Astyanax mexicanus: one gene and its partner. The protein of the gene in region 1 purifies or fractionates together with the protein of each later gene. This does not show direct contact. Links are inferred from orthologs where the notes say so. Each region holds a gene or a part of one and is shown in the gene's direction. Other genes may lie near its edges.

Region 1 (7,992 bases):
TGATGAAAATGTTCATAAGGAGAATCGGTGTCTGTCTCCAGTCATCACTTCCACTAGCCATTTTTTTTTATTGCAGCGCTTTCTCTCACTCCCGTCATTGCTCTCTCTCTCTCTCTCTCTCTCTCTCTCTCTCTCTCTCTCTCTCTATCTCTATCTCTTTCTGTATCTCTCTTTCTCTCTCGCCCTCGCGCTCCGCGCTCTCGTCGTCGGTCTCTCTCTCTCTCTCTCTCTCGCCCTCGCGCTCCGCGCTCTCGTCTTCGGTCTCTCTTTCTTTCTCTCTCTCTCTCTCTCCCTCTCTCTCGCCCGCACTCTGTCGTTGGTCTCTCTCTCTCTCTCTCTCTCTCTCTCTCTGCGCTCTTTTGAACTCGTTCATGCACAACACTGAATATACTGTACTGTACTCACCTTTCACTGCAGTGCAAGTCAACAGAGCCTCCAGCTATCACTGAAGATCGGTTCGCTCACTTCATCAGTTATCAGTGCAGCTTGTTTTTATATTTAAAAATAAACAGCATTCTATTCAGCCAATATAAACCACATTTAATTTACTATAATAATAATAATAATAATAATAATAATAATAATAATAATAATAATAATAATAAACACAGGAAATCTCCTTGGAATAAGGATTATCCATGTTCATTTTAATAATAGTAATAATAACAACAATTTGCTAGAATTAAACTGGCAAGACTTAACTATTTAAAAATATATACTGTAAAAAATATATTATAATAATAAAGTAAAAACAATATAATTTATTCATTTTGAATATAGTTAAGGACAGTTTCATTTGTTTTTCCGCTCATTAAAGAAACACAAACTGCAGCTATATTTAAAGCTAGATTGCACGGCTAAATTGTGCATAACATATCCTATAATAATAAGGATAATATCATATCATATTATATAATATTATAGATATATTACTAAAAATAATATACTATTAACTACTCAACTAACTACTGAAGCATTTTGCTCAAGTAAAAGTATAAAAGTACTGGTTTCAAAACTACTAAAAAATTCAAAACAGTAAAAGTAAAGTAAGGGGAAAAATGCCTTTAAGGTAAACAATTTAATATTTATGCTCTGATATCTATTATAGCAAGTAATTTGTCCGAATTAAACAATAATAATTATTAATAATTGGTGCAGCTATATTTTAAGTGCACAACTAAATAAACATAATAAAAAGTACAGCTGAGGTTAAACAGCTCCTTAAATAAATAAATAAATGACAATAATAATAATAATAATAATAATAATAATAATAATAATAATAATAATAATACTTTTGTAACAATTAATGAATTAATTAGGGAAATAAAAGTGCGCTAAAATATGCATAGTAAAAAGTACAGCTGAGGCAAAACAGATCATATAATAATATACAATGTCATATAATATAGGAATATTTCTAATAATCCTCATTTTTATCCTTATTATTATTATTATTATTATTATTATTATTATTATTATTATTATTATTATATAAAAATGAATTTAGTATAAAGTGTGGCATTATTGTACCGGCAGGGGGCGGTCGCTCTGCAGCGATGATGAGTCGTTACTAAGAACTCCATTTCCCATCATGCTCCTCGCTCCTGACTTATACCGGATGTGGTGTTGAGGAGCAGAGGAACCGCGTGGTTTACGCAGATACTGGACTGTTCTTCGTAAAGCGCTGATTTATCTCATTTTCAGCTCTTTAATCCGGTTTAAAGGCTTCAGATCATCTAATCTAAACTCCAGAGGAACCGCGCTGTAACCATGTTTCTGCAATTCTACCTGAACGAGAACGGAGAGCGGGTCTACACCCTGAAGGTCTGATCCGGATCCTGATCCGCTTTAACGTTACTCACTTAACTTTACTAACCAAAAGCTGATGTAGGGTAAAAAAAAAACGAAGTTGTTCAGATCTTACATTCTGGTTCAGTTAGTCTGGGGTGGTGGACCAGCTTTTTATATCGTCACCAGTAAAGTGTAACGTTAGCTCATGTAACTAGTTATTATGAGTTGGGTGGTTGTATCTGGTTAACAAGACTGATCAGTTTGGCCAAGCTAACCAAAATAACCATGAAGACAATACTGTACCCTGCGAATAAGCCAGTTCAAGAGCAGGGTTTTGCTGGTAAGTTAGCTGGTAAGAAGCTGGTAGATGGTCTTAAATACTCATTTATGGTTAATGTGTTTTTTTTATATGAAACTAGGCATCCAGGCCAAAACGGACCAACTAGCTGATTAACTGGCTGTTAAACATCACTTTGTGTGTTTGTTGTTTGTGTGACTGGTGTGGTGTAGTGGATAACACCACTGCATGGCACATGTGGGAGACTGGGGTTTAATTCCCAATCTGGGTGCGTATGCTGTGCTACATCAATTGGTGGAGCCAGGGGCAAGACTCCTGACACTACATTGGCCCACCTCTGTAACATCAGTAAAAGCAAATCAAATTCAACATATTGAACACTATGCTAATTGATAGCTGATTAACCAGCATATAGTCTGTTTTTGCCTGGATGAGCAGCTTTTTAATCACACTCACCATCAATTATCTTCATGTTTATGTAGTAAATATAGATTCTCTTGGTTTTCTCTTTTAATTATGGTGCTTTGCAAAGTGTTGAGTATTATAAAAGCATGCTCATGATTTAAGTATTGTCTTATTGTTTGGCCCTATAAATGATATAACTCCATAAAATAACTGTATGTGCAAATAAAAGTTAATTAATTAAGAGAAAGATGGCTAAATTTGACACTTTCTAAGAAGTTCCCAGAGGAAAAGAAATTGCTGTATTGTGCAAAAGAGTAGAGCCAGTGAGAATAGAAAAAAATAAGAGAAAAGAAAAAGAAATCTGACAAAATAGAGTGTAAGACAGAACAATAAACACATGCAGCAAGTCATTAAACATTTGCTATTTATGTTTCTGTGTGCTACTAGAACATTGTATGTTGGACATACTGTAGTGAATAGTACAGTATACATGCAGTCAACATTTATTTATTTATTCTTTATTAATATTCCAATTTCAGAAAGTGGATCCAGAAGGCCAGCCCACCAGCTCTGCACATCCAGCTCGATTCTCCCCTGATGACAAGTTCTCCCGGCACAGAGTGACCATAAAGAAACGCTTTGGACTTCTGCTGACCCAACAGCCACGACCTGTGCTGTAACAGAGCACCAAACAATGGACACATCAAGGACATGAAGTGTGTGTTTGCGTGTGCACATGCACACGTTTGTGTGATGTTGGTTGCGTAATATTTTGTTTTACTCTATCCAGTAAAATTGTATAATTATGTTGTTATACAATGTCTAGAGACATCATTTTAAAATGAAAATTTTCCTCAGTTTAATTGAAGCATTTTCTTTAATCTGAGTAAATGTGATACTTTATTAAATCAGGAGAACATTTCTCTCTGTTTTTCTGCAGTTTACCCTTTGCTTCTGGAATTTTGAAATGAATTAATTTGTCACATTTTTAACTCCACTCTCAATCTCTGAGTTTTTTTTCTTTGGGGAAATGAACCCCTTATTCAATAAAACTCATTTGCTAACCTACTGCTGGGTCTGTTTATTGTTTTACCAACATAGAGTGTTGTAGTGCAGCTGTCAGGAAGATAAGATGGGGCCAGAAAAAAATAGAAGAAACCTACCAGACCACTACAGAGCCGCTTTTAAAATTCTACATTCTACATGCAAAAAATGACCCCATATTATAGAATAGTATATTAGGTTATCTACCCACTTGTGAATAATGGTGATTTTCATTAAAGAAAAATCTTAAGGACTGCTACTTTAAGTATTTTGGAAAGTCAACAAGCAGATATGTATTATGTTACTTATCATTATAATTTATTATGTTTTTGTTATTTTACCCAATTTGAAACAGTGACATTTTAACATTGTTTAGTGGTAGAAGGTAGATTACTTTTTATTTTTTTATTTATTTATTTATTTATTTATTTATTTATTTATTTTTTACTTTATATGTATATGGATTAAAGTACAGTAGTGAAGTAAAAATAATACTCCAGTAGATATAGATACAGTATTTTAGTACTTATGTGCAGTTGTGAAGCAAATTCTATTTTTCCTGTTACACATATCTGGTTAAATATATATATATATATATATATATATATATATATATATATATATATATATATATATATATATATATATATATATATATACAGCTCCGGAAAAAAATAAGAGACCACTTAACAATTATGAGTTTCTTTGATTTTACCAAATTGAACACCTCTGGAATATAATCAACAGAAAGATGGATGATCACAAGCCATAAAAACCAAGTAGAACTGCTTGAATTTTTGCTCTAGGAGTGGCATAACATTATCCAAAAGCAGTGTGTAAGACTGGTGGAGGAGAACATGACAAGTGTGAATAACTGTGATTTCAAAACAGGGTTAATCCATCAAATACTGATTTCTGAACTCTTAAAACTTTATTAATATGAACTTGTTTTATTTGCATTATTTGAGGTTTGAAAGCTCTGCATCTTTTTTATTTCAGTATTTCTCATTTTCTGCAAATAAATGCTCTAAATGTCAATGTTTCTGTTTGGAATTTGGGATAAACGATAAAACAACAATGTTCATTTTACTCAAACATTTACCTATAAATAACAAAATCAAAGAAACTGATTCAGAAACCTATATATAAGACTACATTACCCATGCTGCACATCGGTTCCTTTTGTACGGAAAGCGAAAGTGGCCAAGCGAGCCTGTGTATAATACTCTATTAGACAGTGCAGGAGGAGGAGGACGGGCGGTAACTGAAGCACGAATGGGTTTAGTTTAATTCAGTTCATCCAGATCAGGCGCGGCTTTCCCCGGAACTGAGGCGAGACAAGGTGACTCCAGGTAAATGTGCTGGATGGGGAGAATCGGGGAGTGTTTATGGTTGGGGATAATGGGGCTGTGTTTATTACCTGGCAGCTGCAGGAGCTGCTGGGACCTGGGAGCTGTCAGATTTGACTAATTACACACATAGCTAACTAGCCAGCATGCTAAATAGGTAGGCGCTTTATGAGCTAGATAAAGGGTAAAAGCCCTTAATGAATTAGCTAGTTTATCTAACAAATCCTAACCCGAGCAGTAAACAGAGAAACAGAAACAGAGAGAAAACAGTGCTGCCTGCTGCCTCCATTCACTACAGCTGGCTGCTGGTGTGTTGTGCTGGGTATTCCTCCGCAGTCCTGGCGCAGTGCTTTGGCTAAAACATCAGCCAGATTTTTATCACTTTATCCCGGTCTAAACTCTCATCTGACCGGCGCCGCATCTCTGACACGGCCGAATATTATTGTGCTGTAAACGCTGCGCTGTGTCCGCAGACTCCGGGCTGGACTGACCGGTCCGATCCAGAAATCCTAATTGGCTTAATATGGATGCTAGCGGGGCTAGTTAGCTAGCTAAGCTAACTGTTAGCTAAGTTAGCTGAGCTGTGATGCTAGCGGGGTTAGTTAGCAAAGCTAACTGAACTGTGTGATGCTAGCGGGGCTAGTTAGTTAGCTAAGCTAATTGATATGTGTGATGCTAGCGGGGCTAATTAATTAGCTAAGCTAGCTGCACTGTGTGATGCTAGCAGGGTTAGTTAGCTAAGTAAGCTAACTTAGCTTAACTGTGTGATATGACAGCAGGGCTAATTAGTTAGCTAAGCTAGCTGAACTGTGTGATGGTAGTGGGGCTAGTTAGTTTTTTCTCTAAAGCTGTTTTGTGACCACTTCTGTTGTGAAAAGCGCTAATATATAAATTGAATTGAATCAAGTTGGCTAAACTTACTGAACTGTGTGATGCTAGCAGGGCTAGTTAGTTAGCTAACTAGTTAAGCTAGCTGAACTATTTGTTGCTACTGAGGCTAGTTAGTTGGCTAAGCTAGCTGAACTGTGTGATGCTAGCGGGGCTAGTTGTCTAGCTAAACATGCTGAACCGTGTGATGCTAGCAGGGCTAGTTAACCAGCTAAGCCAGCTTTACTGTGTGGTGCTAGTGGGGCTAGTTAGCTAGCTTGACTAGTTAAACTGTGTGATTCTAGCCGGCTAGTTGAACTGTGCGATGCTAGCGGGGCTAGTTTGCTTTCTAAGCTAGCTGAGCTGTGATGCTAACGGGGCTAGTTAGTTAGCTAAGCTAGCTGGACTGTGTGATTCAAGTGGGGCTAGTTAGATAGCTAAACTGTGTGTTGCTAGTGGGGCTAGTTAGCTAAGCTAGTTGAACTGTGTGATGCTAGTGGGGCTAGTTAGTTGACTAAACTTTTTGTTGCTAGCGGGGCTAGTTAGCTAGCCATGCTAGCTGAACTGTGTGATGCTAGAGGGGCTAGTTGGCTAGCTAGACTAGTTGTGATTCTAGCCGGCTAGTTGAACTGTGAGATGTTAGCGGGGCTAGTTTTCTTTCTAAGCTAGCTGAGCTGTGATGCTAACGGGGCTAGTTCGTTAGCTAAGCTAGCTGAACTGTGTGATGCTAGAGGGGCTAGTTGGCTAGCTAAGCATCCTGAATTGTGTGATGTTAGCATGGCTAGTTAACTAGTTAAAATATCTGAACTGTGTGATGCTAGCTGGGCTATTTCGTTATCTAAGCTAGCTGGGCTTTATGATGCAAGCTGGGCTAGTTAGCTAGCTAAGCTAGCTGAACTGTATGAAGCTAGCGAGGCTAGTTAGCTAGCTAAGCTAGCTAGCTAGCGAGGCTAGTTAACTAGCTGAGCTAGCTGAACTGTGTGATGCTAGCGGGGCTAGTTAGATAACCTAGCTAAACTAACTCTATGTAGAGCAAGCATCGGCAGCAATACAATACTGTGATTAAAGACTAGTATCAGCCATGGTATGATACTGTAATTAAGGGCTAGTATCAGCACTAATTCAATGCTCTATTTTAAGTAAATATAAGCATCGATACAATACTGTTTTTAGAGCCTGTATCATCACAGATACGATACTGTATTTGGGGCTAGTATCAGCACCATTACGATACTGTAATTAAGGGCTAATATCGGCACCAATACAATACTATTAGCATCAATACTAATGTGTTTATGCAACAAATTTCAGTTACTGTATCAGCTCTGATATGATACTGTATTCAACTGCACCATTACTGATATAATGTCTACTCTAGACTATACTCTAGAGTCATTTCTAGACTGTAGACTAGAATTTTCTGAGTTAATTTAATGAATGGACAGTTGTAAATTGTATCGGTAGACTAGAATTTTCTGAGTTAATTTAATGAATGGACAGTTGTAAATTGTATCGTCTTGGCATGTGTTATGTGACCTTGCTTACTATATTTTTTCTCTCTCTCTCTTTCTCTCTCTCCATGTTTTCCGTCGACAGATGCAGTTTTGTCACGTCAGCCTGCTTATCATTCCTGTAACAATAAAAGCACTTTCAAGGCAGATGACAAAGTGAACCCATATCTAGTCTAGACTAGCTTGCAGAGAGGTGAAGAAAGGCCAAAGGCAATAGCACTAGATTGTTTGACCTGGTCTCTGGACATTTAACGAAAGCCATTTTTCTGACATATCCTCTATTTTTCCATTAGAAGACAACCTTGTGAATGTATAGAGCACTTTACTGAGAGCATTTCTACCTCGGTTTGGACACAAGTCTTAAATACGTTTTTATTTTGATACAGGGTAAAAATTGACAATATCTATCTCGAACATCCTCCAACACTGTTGACGCAATTATCAGCTAGTTCGTACCTCTTTTCACACCAGCCAAATTCTAAGCTCAGTGTTTTATAGCTATTTAAAGCTAGTCCCAAAAACTGTCACATTAAGGCTGTAGCGTCCAACCATCAATAAGGATCATATCCAGAAGCCTCTTTCAGCCTCGTTCAATGGAGACGCTCCGGCCCGGACACTGTCCCACTCATACCGCTAGCTGAGAGTGGACGAGTCGTCCCAGTGGTCACCCTGGCGGAATCCCAGCAGATCCGGGAGGCCATGGCGTCCTCGGTGCGCTTCACAG
Region 2 (7,178 bases), on another chromosome or scaffold:
GTGCAAGCGGTCGTCATCTCACGCCTCGACTACTGCAATGCCCTGCTAACTGGCCTCCCGGCCTGTGTAGTAAAACCACTCCAGATGATCCAGAACGCAGCAGCACGTCTGGTCTTCAACCAGCCAAAACGGGCACATGTCACCCCGCTGCTCATTGAGCTCCATTGACTACCAGTTGATGCTCGCATCAAATTCAAAACTCTTATAATCGCCTACAAGGTGATGTCAGAACAGGCTCCTTCCTACCTGCACTCGCTCCTGAAGGCTTATGCTACCTCCCGGCCGCTGCGCTCCTCCAATGAACGTCGCCTCGCTTTACCAAACAAACATTCACACAAAGCAATCCAGACTGTTCTCATACAGAGTTCCCCAATGGTGGAACAAACTACCTTCCACTACCAGATCAGGAGAATCTCTCGCTATCTTTAAGAAACTCCTGAAGACAGAGCTCTTCAAAGAGCACTTACTCTCTTAACACCTCTAACACACTAACTACTTCTAACCTCATTTCCTTCTTCCTCTCCTTCACTCCTCTATCCTATTATTCCCCTTTGTCCTCCTCTTATCCCTATCCAAAGATGTTTTTCCTTTAAACTTATTTTACATTGTACTTGACTATTGTAAGTCGCTTTGGACAAAAGCGTCTGCCAAATGTAATGTAATGTAATGTAATGTAATGATAATATGAAAAATGCAAAAAACAAAAAAAAATTGTAAGAGGCAAATACTTTTTCATGCCACTGTAAATATATCAAAATTTTATTGTGTTGTGATAAATGTTCTTATCATAACGACAGTAAGCATATTGAGGATATCAGTAAAACTGACCGTGACTGACACTGACCCATCTCTTATTACAGAGAGTGGTGATTTTTCAATAATTTGATTAATCGGGACGATTTTTGCCATGTTTTTGATAACCGGTATTGGTCGGTATTTGCGCACACAGCCGATTTTTCAGTAGCTGCTGCAAGCAGCCCTGTGTGTTGTGCTGCAGTGGAGCCGTTAGAGCTCCCTCTAGTGTCCATTCCACCATCCTACTGACACACAGTAAAGAGCTGAGGAACTCGAACACTCCCAGAACTGATGGAGCTTCAGACGCAGCTGCAGCAAATTAACTCATCAGACTTCAGAGAAATGCTTCACTTCAGCCTCAGCTGGATTCCAAACAGGACGGGTAAGTGAACTCATCTGACCGGGTTTAATAATGAGCCGTGTTTCTTCTGTGCTAGATGCAGGTTTACTGACTAGTAGCCTCTGTGCTAGTTAACTCTAACCGGCTACTTTAGCTCAGCTCAGCTAAGCTAACGCTAACTCAGGTACTTACACATCTAGCTCTGTGCTAGCTAATGCTAATGGCTACTTTAGCTCAGGTCAGCTAACGCTAACTCTGGTACTTACACATCCAGTTCTGTGCTAGCTAACGCTAGCCGACTACTTTAGCTCAGCTCAGCTAACGCTAAGTGAGGTACTTACACATCTAGTTCTGTGCTAGCTAATGCTAACTGGCTACTTTAGCTCAGCTAACGCTAACTGAGGTACTTACACATCTAGTTCTGTGATAGCTAATGCTAGCCGGCTACTTTAGCTCAGGTCAGCTAACGCTAACTGAGGTACTTACACATCCAGTTCTGTGCTAGCTAAGGCTAGCTGGCTACTTTAGCTCAGCTCAGCTTACGATAACTCAGCTAACGTACTCATACAGCCAGCTCTGTGCTAGCTAACGCTAACTGGAAACTTTACCTCAACTCTAATAACGGCTTATGCCATATCCAGTCCTAATACAAATAATTCAATGGCCACAACTTCGAAAGGCATGGGAACGAGATACAAAGAATAAATTGTGGCCATAATTTTGTAAGACATGACAACAACTTTTATTTAACTATCTATGTTGAATTTCACCAGCAGGATTGAGTAGTAAATATTTTAAAATAACAATATTATTTGGCCACTAACGTCGATAGAAATGTTTGATTTTAGATTGTGAAGTCGGCTGGCCAAAACTTAATGTCAGGACAATGTCTAATGCTAATGTCATCTTGACAAAAACAATGACAACAGCTGACATTTTTTTTTTATTTGTTTTAACTGATGTTAGAATGTTATTAAGAAACATTTTGGAATATAGACTTAAACCATATCATCCAGTCCTACACATAAATAAAAATAAGTCATGGCCACAATTGAGCAAGACATAGAGCCACGTCTTATGCTGACCTTACACCAATCGATTTTCAAGTGATTTCGAGTGAGTCGAGTTGTGGTCGCGTCATCTCTATCATTCACTGTAAGGTGGTTAGGATTGAACATGGATCTGGACAAGACTTAAAATACCGAAGGACCACGGGGTTCAGCGAAAAACAGTAGGTAATTCAGCCTATAATTTTATCAGGTGACGTCTAAGAAAACACATACATGGCCATCCCAGATAGAATTAAAATGACAGAGGACTCCCCATAAAAGAAAAAATTACCCCAGGACCCCCTGAGAAACTAATCCCGTCTGGATAAGGCTTTAGCCAGATTTTTCTTGTCCTGGTGTTCAAATAAAATCATCTAGTTTAACATCTTTAATATTATCGTAGCTCTTGAAACTTGGCTGACGCAAATAGTGACATGAACAATTTAAACAACCAATAGGAGATCTACAGGGAAGCAGCAAGGCAAATGTGGGAACGTTTGCAGAACTGGGCGTGGATTAGACTCTGATGGTGGCTCGGAAACCGCGGTTCTCCTGTAGTGTACAAAGGAGGAGAAATTAATAGAGCTGTGAAGTGAGCAAAGAGTGTCTCTTTAATGTGTCTTCCCATTTGTACCAAGACAGAGTGGAAAATATAAAATGTTATAAATTAATGAAATAAATAAGATAAATAAAATTTTATTTATAAATAATATCAGGAAGAATCTAATTGCTGTCTTTTAGAATAGTGAACCTGCAAAATCCCCAATCTTTGCAAATCTTAGTATGTGATTTGTCTTTAAATGTGAGAGGGTGTCAGACTTTAAGCTGTCCAAACACTACACGACTTTGAAAAAACTCTGAAAAGACTTTTAACAGACTGAAGTCTGACACCCTCTCACAGACTTTTTAGTCACAGAATAGTCACAGACTAAGATTTAGGAAAGACTGGGGATCACAATTTGCAAGACTGCAACTAGATTCTTTCTAAGGTTATTTCCCATCCTGCTTCTAGTGGAGTTTACATACAATACATATTACATATTAAGTTACAAATTTGTATATCAATACTGTGATTTATCGAAGACTCACAGCTTTTGTCCCCATCAACAGTTTATTTTTCTAATTCTTGATATTTTTTAATAGAATGCATTTTGTGTTCAACTCTGCCTATAAGCTTCATTGCCCCCTTTTTTTACTACAACATGGTATAGTAAAGAATCACCGTTTCACTACTATACATTTGCCTTTGCTTTAGATAGAATTAATACAGTAATAATTAAATATAATAAATAATTAAAAATAACTCTGCACAATAAGACAAATACTGCAACAAAAAAAACTGTCAGGTGAAATATATTCTTACTTCTTCCTATTGGTTGTTAACATTGTTCTCGTGACTATGAGCAGCCAAGTCTCAGGACTGAACGATCCAGACGCGACCACGACTCCACTGCAGCTGGTCTCTAGCCAGACTTGATTTTATCTGGACTCTGGAAATTAATCTGTGACTGTGAAATCATTTGAAAATCGTTAGGTGTAAGGACAGCATTAGTCTTTTAAAAGTCTTTTCATAGTCTTCTAGTGTATGGTTAGCATATGTTAGCGAGTTAACCTAATTAACTAGGTAGCTAATTATCTTGTTTACACAGCTTACTAAGTCGTGGCCACAAAATATTCCTTCATTAAATTAGCTATGCAGGATTTCACCAGTGGGAATTTCTATTGTAATATTTGATTATTATAATGTTATTTTATCATTAATTTAACTTATTATATCTATTGAGTCAGAGAGGAAGAAGCCTAACCTTTAGCTTAGCTAAGAACTGTTAGCTAACTTCCTCTTTAAAACATTATCTCCTCTGCCAGCCTGACTCTGAGTGACTTTAGTAAATGAAGAGAGAGCTGAAGTGGAAGCTTTAGGAGAAAACTGGTGTTTACTCCTAGTTTTCGGGGTAATTGTAGTGAGTGGGTGGTTCTCCTGCTGTTTCTGTAGTGGGCAGGAACCAGAAGCTGGGGCTGAAGCTGCTGCTGTGGGAACAGGAGGAGGAGGAGGAGGTGAAAGTGTGTCCATAAGCTGAGCTCCGCACCGTTAGCCTAGCATAGCAGCCCAGCCGCAGCAGCATCATGGCGGAGCAAGGCGAGTCTCCGGCTCCCGTCCAGAATCCGCAACCAGTGCTCACGACCAGCTGGCCGATTGTCAAGGAGGCGTACGAGCTCCAGGAGGTTATCGGTTAGTAGCGGGGAGTTTGGGCTGGTTCTCGGCAGCGGCTGATTGCGGTTCCGGTACTTATACTGTTTGTTCTGGTGAATGGCGAAGCGGGCCTACCGGCTTTTTCATGCGCTGCTGTGTGTAGCTCCAGCGGAGCAGCCGGGGCTCACTAATGCAATGCGGATGTGACAGATAGACAGTGACTGCTGTATTTGACCGGTTAACTGTCTTAAAACGCAGCGCATTCTGCTGTAAATCAGCCTGCGTGGAGATCGCGCCCTTGCTTATACGGTACAGTTATTAGATAGTGTGGCAGACTGTCAGATTGCTAATAAACGATGCTTTCTAATGGCACGTGTCCAGGAAGATGTCAGGCATTAGTGGCATGTAGACTGTCTGGTTCCAGGAGAGTAAATCTCAGGTGAAGTCTGCCCCAGGCCTCCTGAGAGACTGTCTCACACCTTCCTTATTCTCTCTACAGACTTTTAAACAGCTTAGAAAGACTAGAATAGATTTAGGTATAGAATTATGATAATTGGTTTTGTTGTTATTATACTGTCATCAAGCTATTAGAGAGCTAACATAGTGCCAAGCAAGGCAAGCCTGACTGGGAGGTTAATCATATTAGTTTGATTCATCAAATTAGAAAAACAATATGGGGTAATCAAGATTGTATAACTTTATAAACAAAATCTGTCAGCTTCCTGTAAAAACTTTTATGTGGCAGTGAATTTTCATATTTAGCACTTTTCCTTACCTGAAATTTAAGCACATTATGTTTGCATTGTGTTTATTATAAAAGCTGCATGTAAGATTGAAGGTGGCTGCTTACTATTTGTTAAAAAATGCAGTTACATGTAAAGGAAACTTTACATAGGATACTTTAAATTGTGCTGTTACAACTCAATTGAGAATTACTCATATGTTTACAGTATCACCCAGCCCTAATTTTCATAAATTCTACTGTAAATGTAAAAGGTCCATAATTGTATATAGTAACCACATACAATTTTATATCTGCCAAGTCAGTGGTTGATCAGCTGCAGCTATGACTATTATCTGATATGGTCAGAAAACCTATGATGTGGGCATTGTTGTCAAATTCTCAAGTGTTACCTACTTATCCCACCTTTCTTGCTACTTCTGCTTAATATTTATAGAGGCTTTTAAAGAGAATGCTTGTACAATCCTCCCCTTCTTATCAGTTCATTGATAACTTTTATCTGTTCAATTGTAATTCTGTTTTCTGCTCTATAAACCTTGTTATTTTAGTTAATACACTTGACCCTAGGCTCTGTGCTTAAAACAAACATAACCCCTCAAAGACCCTTCCATGTCTCAGAGTCACAGATAGTGCGGGTCACTATAGATGAACTGTGGTGGGGCCTTATCATATCGGCTGATAAGCGATGTTCTCTACTGAAGAGGTCCTGTTCTGTTCATTTGTGCTGTGTTCCTAATCAGCACTGCTGTACATTCAGGACCCCCTCCTTCTTATCTGTCAGCAGCAGTTGGCATGGTGTGTGTGGTGGGTCACACACACTCTGCGTGTGAACAGCAGCACTGCGTTGCTGTATGGTGATTGAGCAGGCCCTCAGTATTGATGCTGTTTAATGGGACGGGTACATGTGCAGTGTTATCTGCAGTCATTTGATAGAAGCGGAGCATGTAGAATGTTTCAGTACAGGCAAAAATTACACTATTATTGAACATGGCAGAGTTTTAAAACTTGTGAACACTGAGCTAGTACAACACCTGAGCTAGTTACTGATCGCTTTGACAGTTCTGTATTGGCTTATAAGGCTTTACACTTTATTACACTTCATTTCATTGTAATTATGTTGATATGTTACATCGGAATTCATGTTTCAAAGTATGCTATGCCTATTACTGGCACATATACAACACTGGACAAATGCAAGCATCAAACATTATTGAAACAGTTCTATGAAATTTCAAAGTGTTGTTTATTAAATTGTAAATTGTAAAGTGTTAAGAAAAGTTAGACACATTTTATATCCTTTCAGAACTATTTCAGACACACAATCCATGCGTTTGTCATTGAAGTGTTAATCTATTATTATTGTGATTAACCAATTTTTGCCATATCACCCTCCAATTCTACTTTCTGTTTATTGTTACTTTCTGGAATCACACATTTCATTAATTTAATCTTATTTACTGTCATTTTACTAATTTACTTTGCCTGGAATTTCTGTTTTCTGATTTGTATATTCATTTATAATAGTATTAATTATCACTCCCACATGTGTGAGATGTGTAATACCTTTTTAACTGTTTTTCTCTAGGCAGTGGAGCCACAGCAGTAGTCCAGGCTGCTCTCTGCACCCCTCGACAAGAGCGTGTGGCCGTCAAAAGAATCAACTTGGAGAAATGCCAGACCAGCATGGAAGAACTACTGGTAAGGCTAGATAAATCTCAAATAAAAGTCCTTTAATCTCTGCCTCTGCCATTTATGTACAAACAGATGCTCGTAATCATTTTGTCCAGCTTGCACTTTTCCTCTGCCCATATATAGAATTCTCTGATGTGCATTGCGCAGAATTAGCTGATGGTATTCAGTAGGGGTGTCACGATTCTCTAAATCCTCGATTCGATTTCATTTTCGATTTGAGGGTCACGATTCGATTCGATTCTCGATTTTCTTGTTTTTTTTTCTTGTTATTATTTTATGCCTCATAAAATTTAAATAATATATTTATTATTATTATTATTATTATTATTATTATTATTATTATTATTATTATTATAAATATTATAAATA

What was found.
Region 2: the proteins of solute carrier family 12 member 6 (region 1) and stk39 purify together in Homo sapiens (affinity purification with mass spectrometry; 3 studies listed by BioGRID and IntAct, with this or other methods). This does not show direct contact. The link is inferred for Astyanax mexicanus from reciprocal best matches to the Homo sapiens genes SLC12A6 and STK39.

What each region holds. Positions count from the first base shown.
Region 1 is NC_064432.1:21,452,246-21,460,237, reverse strand, and holds the start of solute carrier family 12 member 6, read left to right. Parts: upstream 1-4,753; 5' UTR 4,754-4,893; intron 4,894-7,353; 5' UTR 7,354-7,967; coding exon 7,968-7,992. Other genes in the region: nop10 (H/ACA ribonucleoprotein complex subunit 3), read left to right, coding at 1,774-1,827, 3,037-3,177.
Region 2 is NC_064418.1:33,562,100-33,569,277, reverse strand, and holds the start of stk39 (STE20/SPS1-related proline-alanine-rich protein kinase), read left to right. Parts: upstream 1-4,050; 5' UTR 4,051-4,308; coding exon 4,309-4,414; intron 4,415-6,702; coding exon 6,703-6,815; intron 6,816-7,178. UniProt on the Homo sapiens protein: Effector serine/threonine-protein kinase component of the WNK-SPAK/OSR1 kinase cascade, which is involved in various processes, such as ion transport, response to hypertonic stress and blood pressure.